4 linked regions of the Coturnix japonica genome follow. The protein of the gene in region 3 interacts with the protein of the main gene of each other region in a pairwise test. Links are inferred from orthologs where the notes say so. Each region holds a gene or a part of one and is shown on either strand. Other genes may lie near its edges.

Region 1 (3,665 bases), on a different chromosome or scaffold from region 3:
AATTTTCTCCACTAACCGTATCATTTTAGAGACCCATTCTTCAAGGACAAAAGATCTGTTACGAGAAAACTAACTCTTCCACCTGAAATTCTGCTTTTAACCTCAGTATGATGAATTAACTAGCTTCTCTTTATTAACTCATTGCTATCTACCATGCTCTGATCCTAGTCAGATTAGCCGCTCACATGAATACAGTCACGAACATTGGGTTGATTTCCAACATGAGGTACACAACACATTCCTTTTCTTGTCTCATCTCTGGCTGAGGTGTATTTTAAGCATGTAATCAGCTCACTGTGTTATGGAGACCCTTCTTCTGCAGGCGCTTGCAAAGAAGGTAACACAATCATTCTACTTGATAGGAACAGAGTGTTGCCCAGAGGGTATCTCCAGAAATCATTTCAGATACATTGAGACATGTGAATTAGCAGCCAGAGTTGGCACTAATACATTTAATTTCAGTGTCCTAGTTCAGTTTTGCTGACCACTGGTACAAAAACATTTTATGATACAACTGAATTCTTTTAGAATTGGATACATAACTTGAACTTCTAAATACCACAGAACAGACATTGATTTTCCATTCCCCAATCTGTGACATCCTTCACATGAAACCAACATACAAATGTGACATCCTGGGAGGGGTTTCAGAATCTCACAGTACTTAAACGTACAGTAGTTTTTAATTTCACTGGTCATTTGCTCTAATGAGGTGAAAATGTCCTCTTACCATTGAAACAGTGATTTTTTCATTCTTCCAGTAGTTCATATTATTAAAAATGAAATTGAGAACAAACATCTCCATACTGTATTTGAACCCATCCAGCTTCACAAAAGTAAAGTATCATGTACAGTAACCAGCTTTTCTCCCCCCAGTATCTGTGCAGCTACAGTTTTAAATTACTCAACAGAAAAGGCACTAAAGTACTTTGCTTTACCTGTTCTGTAAACTTGTTAATTATTTCGTTTCAATTTACTAGAATCTTACCTTTCTGATTTTTTCCTTTGTTACTTATTACTGATTGGCAAGTTCAGCTAATTATGTGCTTCCAGGCCTCAAGCACAAGCATGCAGCAATCAGAGCTGGCTGCCAGGGGTCAGTCTATCACTTGTGCTGGTTCTAAATCAGAAGTGCTGTTGAGATGGTGGAGGGCACTGTGACAGCCAGCAATCCCATGAAGCTTCCCTTCACCTCCTGTTTTAACTCATCAACATAAACAAATTTTTTGCTACTCATATCCTAACCTGAACTAGTAATTATTTATTTTTACTACAAATTAAATATTTTGTCTACAAGTATTAAATGTAAGGTTGCACACATTCTGCTCAGGCATTTCCTTTTTCAGAAATGAAGGTTTACTGCATTCAAAACATAACAGTAAAGCTACAGGAAGGACCTGGAGGCAGACATTTCCAGGTCACCTCAGCGGGGTATTTTATACAGAGAACTGCTCCTGATCTTTCTGTCCCCACTGGGTGGCACTGTAAGCAGGTACAAGTTGATACAGAGAATTTAGATGTAGCACAAATTATTATTTTAAAACAAATTTCTAGAAAGTTTTGTATGAAGCCACAGGTCCCTTGTTTATATACCCTTACAAGAAAAAGAAGTCAATCAAACTTCTGCAGCCCATATTTCAACCACTCCAGTGATTATACTACTTCATATAAAGTTTCCCATGGTTCAAAGACAATTAAGTGAAGCACAGGTTATTCTCACTAGCTTTTTATTTTTAATAAAACAAAAAACAACTGTGGCTTAATCTTCAGTTACAGTAGTAGCAGTAGGCTTTAGAATCTGAAAGTACGTAGATAGATGCTGACTGAACATTCATCTAACATTTACCTGAAACAGATCTAAGCACTGTACACGCAATTAAATTACCATAAACTTGAGCAACATCATTTACTGACATTGATGAAAAAATTTTTGGGAGATATTCCTTACTGCCAAAGAAGGAAGGCAAAGCTGAAATCTAAAACAGAAAAAAAAACCAACAGAAAATCCAGCAATTCACCAATGATTTCAGTTACCAGGAGTATAGCTACAGGTTAGGAGGCAGCATGGACAGACCTTAAGTACAGGTCTCAAACGTGGGAAAGGGAGGGCTTGAGCTTCTGTTTTCAAGTCTACAGCACAGCATACAACTGACTGATGCCATATTCACTCTGTCACTGTGACAGAGGTAATTTTGTCTGCTTCCTCACTCTGCAGTCATCTCACACAGACCTCTATGCTATCACTGACTGACAGCATAGAGTCCATGACAGTCCAGATTCTAAGTTAACCTATTTAAATACATTTGAATATTCAGAGTAGCGCAGACACCATCTTATATTTTTAAGCATTAAGATGAAAAATGGATTGTAGGCTCCTAAGAGTCTTAAAACCCACTGGTTTATCTAAGTGGGGGTGGAGGTGATGAATCATACCAGCTGATCTCAGACAAGCACAGTCAGGAGATGAGAATAGATACTAAAACCCATTCTTAAACTGAATCTACACTTCCAAATATGTTTATTTTAAAGTTAAGCACAAAACATTCAGCAAGTGATGCTGCAGGCATTTTTGGTACTAAATAAAGAAGCAGTACCTTATATACTTTTGAATTAAACTTACTTGATCTTGCACTTGTAATGAAGTGTTTTGTTCTGAAGTCTCTGTGCTTTCTGGCTTTGTGGGATTTGCATGTTGCTGTACACCAGAACTTGACGCGACACTTAAATCATTGCTCTGATTCTGGGGAAAAAAAAAATAAATACAGATACACTTTGGTCAAAATACTGACTTTTGACAGATACTGCAGAATTTCCACGTTTCAGGAAATAATATCATACCAAAATATACAACATCTGGCATGTGTTCATGATGCTTTTCTTTTTATTTTCAAAGGAGAAAATAAAAGAAAATAAAGACAGGCTTTCCATATTCTTTTCCCACATTAGCTGCTAAGGAGGATATTAAATCAAGAACTTCATACTAAAAGCAACTTACAAAAAAGCTTTTGTCAGAAATCATTCTAGAGTGATTGGATAAAGAGCTTGTTGGTGACTTATTTTCACTAGATTTTAATAACGTGCAAGTATTTTCGGAAGATGTTAACTGGGTTTTAGGTGAAAAAAGCTAAAAGGACAAGGAAGTCACAGACAGTAAGTTTACAAACTCTTTACAGATTGTGTTGATTTCCATATTCAACAAATACATAAGTAAACAATATTTATTACAGTTTAAAGCACAGAGGAAAAGCAACTGTAGGACCAGCAGCCTGGCATTCAGGTGAACTACACCTTACCCCTGTGACAGAGCTCAACATCAGCACAACACACAATCTCTTTTGTCACTTACCTGTTACAGCAACAAAATACAGGCTAAACCTTTCAACAAGAAGTTAGAAACAATCTGAGCTTTATTTATGTTTTCTAAAAATATTCGAGAGGAATAAATACAAAATCAAAATTATCTATGGACAGAAACAAACAACTCCTGTCTTTATGTGTTTTAGCCGCTAACTTCAAAGGTCTCTTTTGGGGCCCGAAATTGTGGACTGCCTTACAGTTACAGAAACAAAACACAGTGTTTCCCTTCACAAGAGGATAATCTGCAATGTTTCCATTCTCAGAATGAAATACACACAGAAACACTATAAAAAGCATCCATTCACTTC
Region 2 (2,432 bases), on a different chromosome or scaffold from region 3:
TGTTCTCCACTGGTGAGTAGAGGAGCTGCCGGGAGAGAACAGGGCGGTGTGAGACTGTGTCCCCAGTGCAGCCCTACATGGACATGTGCACTCCCAGCAGCTGGGAGGTGGCACGGCACAGCCCCGTGTCCCAGCCCCTACCTGCACAAAGAGGGGAATGGTGTTGAGCCGGAAGATCTCCATGCGGTTCATGAGGTCCCGGGCCAGGATGTGCAGCGCTCCTGTACAGCCCTCCACTATCTCCTCCATCTTGACACCATCCTGTGAGGGGATGTGTGCTCAGAGGGTCCCCATGCCATGGTCCCACCATGCACTGAGCGTGGGGACAGACACCCACCCCGCTTGGGGACTCACCGTGTAGGGCTGCTGTGTGCCAGCCGCCACGTGACGCTGCGCATCTTGGTGAGCCTTCACCAGCAGCTGCACCAGGCGTGGGATGACGGCCGCCTCCTGCAGCGGGCCGTGGTTTGCCGGGCACAGGGCCAGGTTGCGGATGAGCCCGATGGTGGCCTGCAACGAGGGCACAGAGATTCAGACAGAGAGCAGAGGCACAGGGCACCCCGCAGCCCACCCACAGCCCCCCCGCAGCACACGCTGCCTCCGGCTTCCTGCATCCTCCTGCACCGGATCCTACACCCCCACAGCGGGGGGTGAGGGTGGGTTTCACCGCAGCAGCAGAGCACGAGCAATTTCCTCCCATTAGCAGCCATTAGCTTGACGGAAACACAGCAGCCGGTGCGCTGGGCTCCAGCTGCAGCTCCCCGCAGCCCCCCCCACCCCTCACCTTGACCAGCGGCCACTGGTTGGGCTGGTTGAGCAGCTTGACGATGGCGGGGATGCCGTAGTTGAGCCGCACGGAGTTCTGTGCCATCTCGGCCTCGGGGTGCCGGCTGGTGAGGTGCCGCAGGGCGCACACGGCCGGCTCGGTGATGTCCTCCTTGTCGCCCGCCCGCAGGATGGTGTGGATCAGCGCCTCCACCCCGTTGGACTGTGTCACCAGGGTCTTGTTCTTGCTGTTGTTGCAGGTCAGGTTGGAGAGCGTGCCGGTGGCGCAGGTCAGCACATTGACGTCGTCAGAGCTCAATTGGTTCACCAGGATCTTGAGGACTCCATCCAGACCCTCCTGCAGAAGCACAGACAGGGGTCAGAGCGGCTTCTCCCTCCATCCTGACTCTGAACAATCCCATAGTGACTACAGTTCTGGCCCCAGCTGTGCAGACAGTGCCAGGAAGGGGTTAAAGTGCTGCAGCCAGAGCCAGGGGACCCGGCTGCACACTTCCACCGCCAGCACAAATAGTTTCCACACTGCATCAGGAGCTAATCTGCAACCCGAGCACATGGGGAACGCATCAGGAGGTGATGAACGGCTGGAAGAGCTCAGAGCTGAGCCCTGGGCACCCCTCGGGCTCTGCATCCTCATGGGGCCGAGAGCTGAGAAGGCAGCTGCAAGATCAGGGTGCCTGGGGATGCTGCTGATGCAGAGCAAAGTAAGGACAGCACTTCAGGATCAGGCTGGCATGGGCACGGGGCTCCACAGAGGTGGCACTGACCCCAGGCACAGCTGGGAGGAGCTCCCCAAAAAGCTGAGCTGAACACAACGCGGCAGCCCCCAGACCCACCTGTTTGGTGGCCACATCAGAGAGGTTTCGCAGGGTCCAGAGACAGTTCTGCACCAGCCGGGGGCTGGAGCTGGTCAGGTGCTTGCCCAGAGCCTGCATGCCACCTGCCAGAGACACGAGACACTGGGTCTATAAATACAGACATGCAGCTCCCGGCAGAGAGGAAACGGAGCCGTGGCACTGCACAGCGAGTACAGGCTGGGTGCCACCCGGCTGCCGCCTCCAACGCAGCACGTCGCTCAGCAGAGGCTGACTGCTAAATGTGGAGCAGAGCAGCTCCTGCCCGCCAGCCAGGCCGGTTCCTGCCCACACACAGCCCCAGAAAGTGCCTCAGCAGACACAGACCCGGACATGGGCGGTGGGACCCGGCAGCTCAAGGACTGGCGTGCCACACAGGGCAGCTGCCCGTGGGAGGGATGCAGCAGTATCACTCTTTCTTGGGGCCCCAGGGGCTGCACTGCACAGAGGGGTGGGCAGCAAGCAGCCAGGGGCAGTCAGTGCTATGGGAGGGCGAACAGCATCAACCCAAAACCCCACAGAGTTCAGGAGGCGGCCCCAGAGCTCTTACCAGCCTCGACGATGGCAGGTTTGTTGCTGGGACAGACTGACAACACCTTGAGCACCCGGCTGGTGGTCCACAGCAGCTTCTCATAGTTGTAGCTGCGCATGATCTGCACCAGGGCTTGGGGGCCTCCGTTGGCCAAAATAATCAGCTGCAAGGTAAGGGGGCAGGGTCAGGGCCAGGGTGTGGGCAGCACCACGCGCTGCAGACCCCCAGGATGTGCAGCATCACCCAGCAGGGGAGCAGACCTC
Region 3 (4,105 bases):
TGTGAGTATTTCACTCCCAAGCCTGTATTTACATACCCTTTCTTCTCTATCTTTCTTCCTTGTAAAAATGCCCTTTTATATTTTCTGTATTAAGGAAGGGTTTGAATGAGTCTTCCCACTCCCAGCCTCCTGCCAGCTGCAATCAAAAGTCTGCATTGTTCTGATGGTTTGCTGTTTGGAAAGGAATAAGTAAAGATATTCACCCATTAATCATATATTAAAATGCTAGGTAAGAACAAAGTATTATTGTTGGAAAGACTGCCTTCAGCATGGGTTCGCTTTGGGAACAAGCTTTTGGCCTTTTTGTTTTATTTCACTTTTAAATTCAAATCTGGTGAAAAATCTGCACTCGTATGCATGTTCCTGCATTTTTTCAAGCTAAATATCTTGGGCTAGTGTTTAGAAAAAAACAACAAGCAACACTGATGTTTTGCTGCACATGATTGGAATGCTACTTTTGCTTTTCTTGTTTTGTTCTGTTTTGTTTTGTTTTTAAGGGGGAACACTGTCTGTGTAGCAACAACGATAATTTAACACTAAGAATCCAACCAGAATAGTTGTTTTATTCCTATTGTTTTAGTCTTAGACCTGAATGATAGGCAAAGAATTTGAGGACATGAAAATGTTATTTTCACACACAACTTCTTCGGTGCTCAATTTACTACACTCTGCACATCAGTTGAACATAACTGCAGGATCCTGGGAAAAAAATGGCCAAGGGGAGCAGCAAATCTGGCTAGGGTAGCTCCCAACATGTGCTGGTGGCCCACGCAGAGCCAATGTTGCAATCGTTGGTAGGAAGTGCTACCTTTGGTCTGTAGCCAATTTACAAAACTCATTTCATCAGCACTAGGGACAAGTAGATCAGAGCCGTGTATGGAACTGAGCAGGACAGACCATAAGTGCAGTAGAACATAGGGATGTGCAGAAGTATCAGCTGTGGTGTTTGAAGAAGTTAAGCCTTCCAAAGCATTCTTGAGGGGATAGTAAGCCTTTAGATAAGATAGACATGTGCAGACTATTTGGTATTTATCACTTTTTTTCTTTTATTTCTGATGAAATTATGTTCTGTTCTTCACATAAAAGATGGAACAAGCTTGTTCTTAAGCTCACTGTCTCAACACAGTCTACACTAATGGTCATCACCCCCTGCCAGAGGAAGCCTGGAGAGCACATCCCAGACAAGACAAGCTAAATGAGGTCAAACACACTGTCAGTGATATCCTACTCAGTGGAAGATGGAAACATGGGAGCAGACTGATAAGCCACATCTATGTCATGAATCAGAGAAGACCTCAGGGTACTCCCAGGTACTGCAACTCAATGATCTCTCTAGCCAGCTGAGCAAACATCAGCTTGGGCTCTCCCATTTGGGAGTGAGTCCCATCTATGTGGCTATTTTGGTAATTGTATTTTTGATACAAGAAGCATGTAATGGCACGGATATTCAGATTCTGGATTCAGAGCATTGCAGAGGGTATTGCATGTACTGCTGTAATGGGGGCAGAGACAGCCCTGAGACTGGATTCAACTTCTTCATGCTGATGTGTTCAGTCAACATTTGATGTGAAAATCCACGTCCCAGCTAAAGTCAGCAGATCTCCAGCAGTTTGGGATCAGCTAACGGCCTATCCTTTTGCCTTTTAAATCTCCACTTAGGGATTGAGGTCAATTCCTAGAGCTTTGAAGTGAGGTGACAATTTACATGAGCCTTAGGTTTGGCTCAACTGGGGTTGATAGGGGCCTGAGGTCCTGTCAAAGCCTACTGAACAATGGCTGCTCAGTATTTTGGAAAAATAAGCCACCACAAAATAACTCCTTTCATTTCATTTCCTAACACAATAAACAAATTCTAGCTTAAAATGTGATAGTTTTAGTTCTTGGACTAAAAGTAAATATCACCTTTGTATCACTCTTCATGGTCGCTGGATGAAAGAGATTTTCCTTATAAGGATTTTTATATTAAAAATGTGTGCACAAATTCATCCAAACACATATATGCGTACGCACAAACAATCTTATTTTTCCCAAGAGGTCTTCTTTTATTGGCTTCATTTGAAAATTAATGCTCTCATGAGATGAGGTTAAAAGTAATTTAATGTAACAATGGCCTGATAATTGGCATTTGGCAGTTATTGCTAATGCTATTTTATAGTCTGGTTCTGAAGAATTTGTGCTTTCATACGCAGACATGTTTTAGTGCTTTTCTTTCTTTTCCCTCTTCACACAGCTGCTGTAACCCATATCAAGCAATTGTTTAAACAAGAAATCAACAAGCATCGCTTGTGATTTGGCTTTCTTTCCTTGCAGGCTGTTAGGAAATGGTCTCAAAGAGGGAAAAAAATAAAATGTTCCTTCTGCCCTCTATTTTTCCCCACTTTCATAAAGAAGAAAATGCTGATGGAGAGGAAAAAAGAACACTAATCACACACTTTCCGCCTGAAGTCATTCAGTTTTCTATTCAAACCAGGAAAGTGTCTATAGTTAGACATGGTTGTATTCCTTGAGAACATGGAAACGACAGCATATTATTAGTGCAGAAACTAAAGAACAGCTGCTATTTAGCACCTGGTTCCCAACAACAGGCTGGAAATACAAAGTCAGATGCTCTGTATGTGCCCTGGCAACAAGGAACGAACAAACAACCGAAAATCCCCTTTTCTGGTAAGAAAGAAGCCCTCCCCTTGTGATATCTGCCCAAAGCCTTAAGAAACTTCCAGCCCCTGTTACAGAGGGAAGGTGAAAAGAAGAAAAGGGGCCAAAGGATGGTATAATCCAGACTGGTCACTGTCTTACCTTGCTGCAGCTCGGTGGTGCCTCTGTTTGTGAGAGCGCGAAGGATGGGAGCAAACACAGGGACTCGTGGCTTCATTGGATTACCCACACTATGTATTTAGTAATTAGACAGACATTTGTACTTCAGATGAGCTATAAATATAATATCTCCAGAGCCCCAGGCACCCAGAGGAGATAAGGACTGCAGTACCTCTGTGCCACCGGCCTTTTAAGGCATCACAGATATAGCAACACAAGGCCCCCAATGGAAAGGGCTGCTGTCCTCCTGACCTGCTCCATTTCAGAGTGCTGGATCTCAAAATACACTCACCTACTTTCAGGAGTTCCTGCGAGTGTTCCTCAGAACGCCAGAACTATTATATGATTTGATATTTTCACTGAGCTATAAGCAACTCTAACTTCTCCATCAGATTATTCCCCAAGGCTCTGGGATTAACAGAAATGCCAGCTGCTCTGTGGATGCGGTGAACTCCAACTCCCCTTCATCTGTTTGTCTGTCCATCCCAGGCATACAGCCTCACTGCAGGGTGGTCTGTCTGCCTCATTGTGCTCTATTTGATCCCAGGGGAAGACAGTGGCAGCACAAATCAGTGGTCACAAATCAGTGGGTATGGGCAGAGGCCTCAAAGCTCAGGAGCCTGCTTTCCCTGCTGGGCCCCTGCTCTCTGCAAGGGAGGTGTAGAGCAGAGGTGTAGGGGACACTCATACATATAAGGAGTGAGAGATTAGAGGTAAAAGAGAGGTCTTCCAGCAGATCCTGTGGGCACTGCCCTTCTGGCTGCAGAGATGAAACTGCCCAAACAAGGCTCAGTGCAGAATCAGGACTGCATCCTAGCTCTTTGCCCATAATGGATCCATCTCTATATTTTGATGTGTTTCTACAGAGCAAGATGCAGCACAGTTGTGGTCCTTGATCAGAATGTTGTACTATTTTAATTTGCTTTTTAGAAGAAGAAAAGGTAATCCTCTTCAACACACAGATGAAGAAAGAGCATTGGGCAACCTCTAGGTGCAGAAAAATGACTCTCCCTTACACGGCAACATATGTCTTAGAAGAAATACTACGCTTTTAAACTGAGATTATCTGTTGTTTCTTCTCCTGCCTGAAGCAGGATTATCTGCCATCAATCTCTCTGTTGGATTTATCTATTACTTCCACGGTCCCAAAGAATGCCCCGTTCTCTACATCCCCTTCTCCTCAAATTGTTGGTAGTTCAATAGTTTTTAGGAGGTCGTGTCACCTCCCAGTTCTTCTCTGAACACTTTGTTTGGTCAAGCTGTGGAGACTGGATACGGACACAAAATTTGT
Region 4 (3,665 bases), on a different chromosome or scaffold from region 3:
CAGAAATCAAGTAGCCTAACAACAGATGCAGGGTCTGCCTGTTGCTAACTTGACAGGGGAACCAGGACAGGTACAAGGCAAGTGCATCCCAACTGACTAGGATAAAATCAGGGATGCCAGGTTCTCCTCTTGTAACAAGCGGGTAAGTCAGTTACATTTAAAACTGAGCACACATGTTTCAGAGGAACAGCTCCGGCTTCTAAGCTACTATAAGTCAGAACTGCCCACAGTACCCTGAATAAGTCTCATCTTTTCAAGAAAAAAAACCCAACAACCTTTACAAAACAAAGTGCAGGTCAGAGCATAAAGAACCGTTCTCATACAGGACAGCCAGGTACATTTTCTCCCTGAAAAAAAGGAGCTCTCAGCCAGTATGGAAGGTGCCACAAGTGCAGTGCACTGACTGACTAGTGTAAAATGATGCCACTCAGTTTAAAAATACAAACAAAACCAATGTGTTCATACTCTGAGAGGACCATTAACCATTGAAGACAGTGATTTTCCACCTTCCTTCCTCATTTTTTGCTTAGAGCCACAAACCAAAGCATTTAGGGCTGAACAATGCTTACTGGGACTCTCAGGACTTTGAGAAACTATCAACACAGTTCACAACTGATAGCTTTTGAAGGAAAAAAAAAGTCCTTAGTTTGTTTTAAAGTGTATGTACAGCCACATGGATTTCCAATGCTACCATGAGGAAGGCTTTGTCATGAAAGTCAATGCTTGTGTATGAAGTAAGTGCTACATACACAGTGAAGACAAAAGAACCATTGCTATTCAAATGCTAACAGCCAATACGTATTGCTGCAGGTTTATAGGTAAGTTTGTTCTCACTAATATTAATAACACAGCCTGCAGCATGTGCCTTTGTCCACATGTGTAAATACAATAAATGGAGCAGTGCTCAGAAGCAAGCAGTCAGGTACCCCTGATTTGGCCACAGCATTTAGTAGTTATATACCTTGCCATATGAACACAGTCCTAGTAGGTTTCAATAGAGGAGGATAATCTATTAATGATGTATCTGGAAGAAGTTTGGCATGCATGGGGCATCAAAAAGAAACTTTACTGCAGGTGCTATTTATCCTATAGGATCACAGTGCATAAACAGCAACAGAAAAGGGCAACAGTGATTTGACTCAAACAGTTCTGTCTGTCCCTGAGTGCTTTCTGACCACCTTGCTTCCATTGACCTGATCCACCGCCAGCGTTTCAACCTCTGGCTGAGGCTGGGAGGGCGCGACGTGGTGGATGCGATGTGCCACTCCAACGTGTGCCTTGTGTGGCTTCTCTCGGGCTGGGCTCTGCGATTCACCCGATGCTCGATCCGAAGCAATGGGTGGAATAACCAGCGGCCTCTCCTTAATAAGATGGACCTCTGATGTTTCTCTGGCCAACAGAAACGGAGTGGGATCAGGCATGGCATCCACATGCTCTCTTAACAGCAGCTTCCGACTATCGGATCCTATTCTGTAGGCCTCTTCAAACTCCGGGTTGAGTGGTGTTGACAAACTCTTCTTCATTCTGCGCCGTGGAGTCTCAGGCAGTTTATCTTTGGGAGGGGCTGGCTTATAGCTGGACAACACTGGACTGCCTGAAGGGGTCCCCTCTGAAGTCCCACTTGAACTCATCAGCTTCTTCTTAGTAGCGTGCAGTTGAGAAGTTAAATAAGCAATAGTGCTCGCTCTCTGCTCTAGTTCACTCGACAGCATATTGAGCTTATGGCTTTTCATTTTTAACTCTTCCAAATACTTCTTTTCTCTTTCTTTAATAGTGTTTTCCAGCACCATTATCATTGCATTCTTTTGTTCAAGTTCTTTCAATAATTCATTGTTTTCAGCCTCTTTGGCTTTCAGCTGAGCTTCAAGATCTTCACACTTTCTTTTGAGTTCATCACTTCTTGAACTAATGTTTCCTAGAACAGGAAAAGCAGAAGCATTTCAAAGTTAGTAGCTGTCATTAAGAAAACTGCTGCAGCAGGGTTCCTTTTGGCATTCCAAGGCCACAGGAAGAGCCCAAAGACCAACTTCTGCCAATACCGTAGCAATTACTTCATCTTCAGAAGCAGCAGGATGGCTTTTACAGGAAAAGGTGAAGAGTTTGTGCCACTGACTGTATTTAAAAGATGCTTCATTCACTGAGGAGAACAGATTACAGAAATCATGCTTGCAGAACTTGCTCCAAATTGGAGCTATTTTGCAAATTCTCTGACCATTAAGACTCTCAGTTATAAGTTGTTAGATGTTGTTCATAGTGGACAACAGTGAACATCACTATTAAACCACCTACTCTGAAAATCCTGTGATGAAAAGCATCTGAGCAGCACTGCAGTATTATGAAATAATGCTGAACCCATGCAGTTCCTCACTTGCTTTGCTAAATATTCATGTTCTCTCTTACTCACATGACATACATTGTCCTGCAGTAGCCCAGATTCAGGAGGTTACTCCCAGGGAGCATTTAATTAATTCCTCTGCTTCACTTGTTGATAACATAATGCAGCTGAGCTGACTAGCAGCTATGCGAGCTAACTTCTAATTAAACAGCCTCACTCCTGCTGCTAAAATTCATGTTCCCATAAAGCCTGTTGGGAACTGACTGTCTATTAAAAGAAAGCAGTCAGTGGTTCTACACTCTATTCCTGGATCTCTCAGACATCTCCTATGTGACCTTGTTAAACTTATTGTCAAGGTTTTATGGTTGTTGTTATCAATATTCCAAACTGTAACACTGTGTAATGCACTGGGAGTTAAAGAGTTAATGCTCCAGTTTGTGGATGGTGGTTAGTTCATTGATAACAATGATTCTGGAAAGGAGAAAACTACTCTTGCACCATTTGAATTTATAGTCAACAATATCCCATATGCAAAGTATTCTCAGCTACTTGTAACAGAGAAAGTAAAACATTAAGAAACGAGGCAGTTTAACATGAACATTAAAGAAGAATGCTACGTGTTCCTTACCTGACAAGTCAGAACTCTTCACTGTCAGCTCATAGGTCAGGTCTGGGGGAAGAAATAGTTACTTTATTTTTTAGAACAAGCATATTTAAAATAACGGAGATGTGCTGCATGTTATCAAATCTTGAGCAACCAGAACAAGAAGGTAACAGGTGGTTTTTTTTTTTAATCATTGAGCAAAGAATTTTCTTTATTTCACACTTGTCATGCCCTGAGATACATAAACCCAAAGCACACACTGTGATGGGCTCTACTGCCCAGCACTTTCCCCATCCTTGTGGGAAGAGACAAACCCAGCACCAGCACCAGCACCATCACCCTCCCCAGGTACCTGTGCAGTGCTGCTGCAGGCGCCGGATCTCGGCATGGAGGCCCTTCAGGGTGCTGGCATGTTCTCTCTGGAGAAACAAGAGGTTCTTCTGGGCGCTGTGCAGCTGGTTCTCCAGGTTTGACGTTGCCATCCTGGCATGCAGTGACTCTGTCTGTGGGCAGAGGCAGAACTGTATCAGTGACTTCACTTGCAGATACATACATATAAAGAGCCTCACTCTGCAGCCTGGTCCAACAGAATCAGCTGAATGATACCATTAATGAATTGATATGCAACCATGCAAGTGCCACACAAGTAAAAGGTTTTCCTGTTTCACGCTATTTCAATTAGAAATACTCTCATTTCAGACGTAGCCTAATTTAACTCTAGGCCAG

What was found.
Region 1: the proteins of FHL2 (region 3) and DCP1A interact in binary tests that used the Homo sapiens proteins (3 or more experiments, as listed by UniProt). The two-hybrid records come from large-scale screens. The link is inferred for Coturnix japonica from reciprocal best matches to the Homo sapiens genes FHL2 and DCP1A.
Region 2: the proteins of FHL2 (region 3) and JUP interact in binary tests that used the Homo sapiens proteins (3 or more experiments, as listed by UniProt). The two-hybrid records come from large-scale screens. The link is inferred for Coturnix japonica from reciprocal best matches to the Homo sapiens genes FHL2 and JUP.
Region 4: the proteins of FHL2 (region 3) and CCDC92 interact in binary tests that used the Homo sapiens proteins (3 or more experiments, as listed by UniProt). The two-hybrid records come from large-scale screens. The link is inferred for Coturnix japonica from reciprocal best matches to the Homo sapiens genes FHL2 and CCDC92.

The regions. Positions count from the first base shown.
Region 1 is NC_029527.1:4,964,694-4,968,358, forward strand, and holds part of DCP1A (mRNA-decapping enzyme 1A), read right to left. Parts: intron 2,741-3,665; coding exon 2,621-2,740; intron 1-2,620. UniProt on the Homo sapiens protein: Necessary for the degradation of mRNAs, both in normal mRNA turnover and in nonsense-mediated mRNA decay. Removes the 7-methyl guanine cap structure from mRNA molecules, yielding a 5'-phosphorylated mRNA fragment and 7m-GDP.
Region 2 is NC_029542.1:4,296,023-4,298,454, forward strand, and holds part of JUP (junction plakoglobin), read right to left. Parts: intron 2,333-2,432; coding exon 2,188-2,332; intron 1,724-2,187; coding exon 1,620-1,723; intron 1,124-1,619; coding exon 785-1,123; intron 511-784; coding exon 355-510; intron 262-354; coding exon 142-261; intron 26-141; coding exon 1-25. UniProt on the Homo sapiens protein: Common junctional plaque protein. The membrane-associated plaques are architectural elements in an important strategic position to influence the arrangement and function of both the cytoskeleton and the cells within the tissue.
Region 3 is NC_029516.1:121,912,945-121,917,049, forward strand, and holds the start of FHL2 (four and a half LIM domains protein 2), read right to left. Parts: upstream 2,924-4,105; 5' UTR 2,797-2,923; intron 172-2,796; exon of another isoform or gene 37-171; intron 1-36. UniProt on the Homo sapiens protein: May function as a molecular transmitter linking various signaling pathways to transcriptional regulation. Negatively regulates the transcriptional repressor E4F1 and may function in cell growth.
Region 4 is NC_029530.1:4,125,548-4,129,212, reverse strand, and holds part of CCDC92 (coiled-coil domain-containing protein 92), read right to left. Parts: intron 3,443-3,665; 5' UTR 3,422-3,442; coding exon 3,292-3,421; intron 3,006-3,291; coding exon 2,964-3,005; intron 1,916-2,963; coding exon 1,140-1,915; 3' UTR 1-1,139.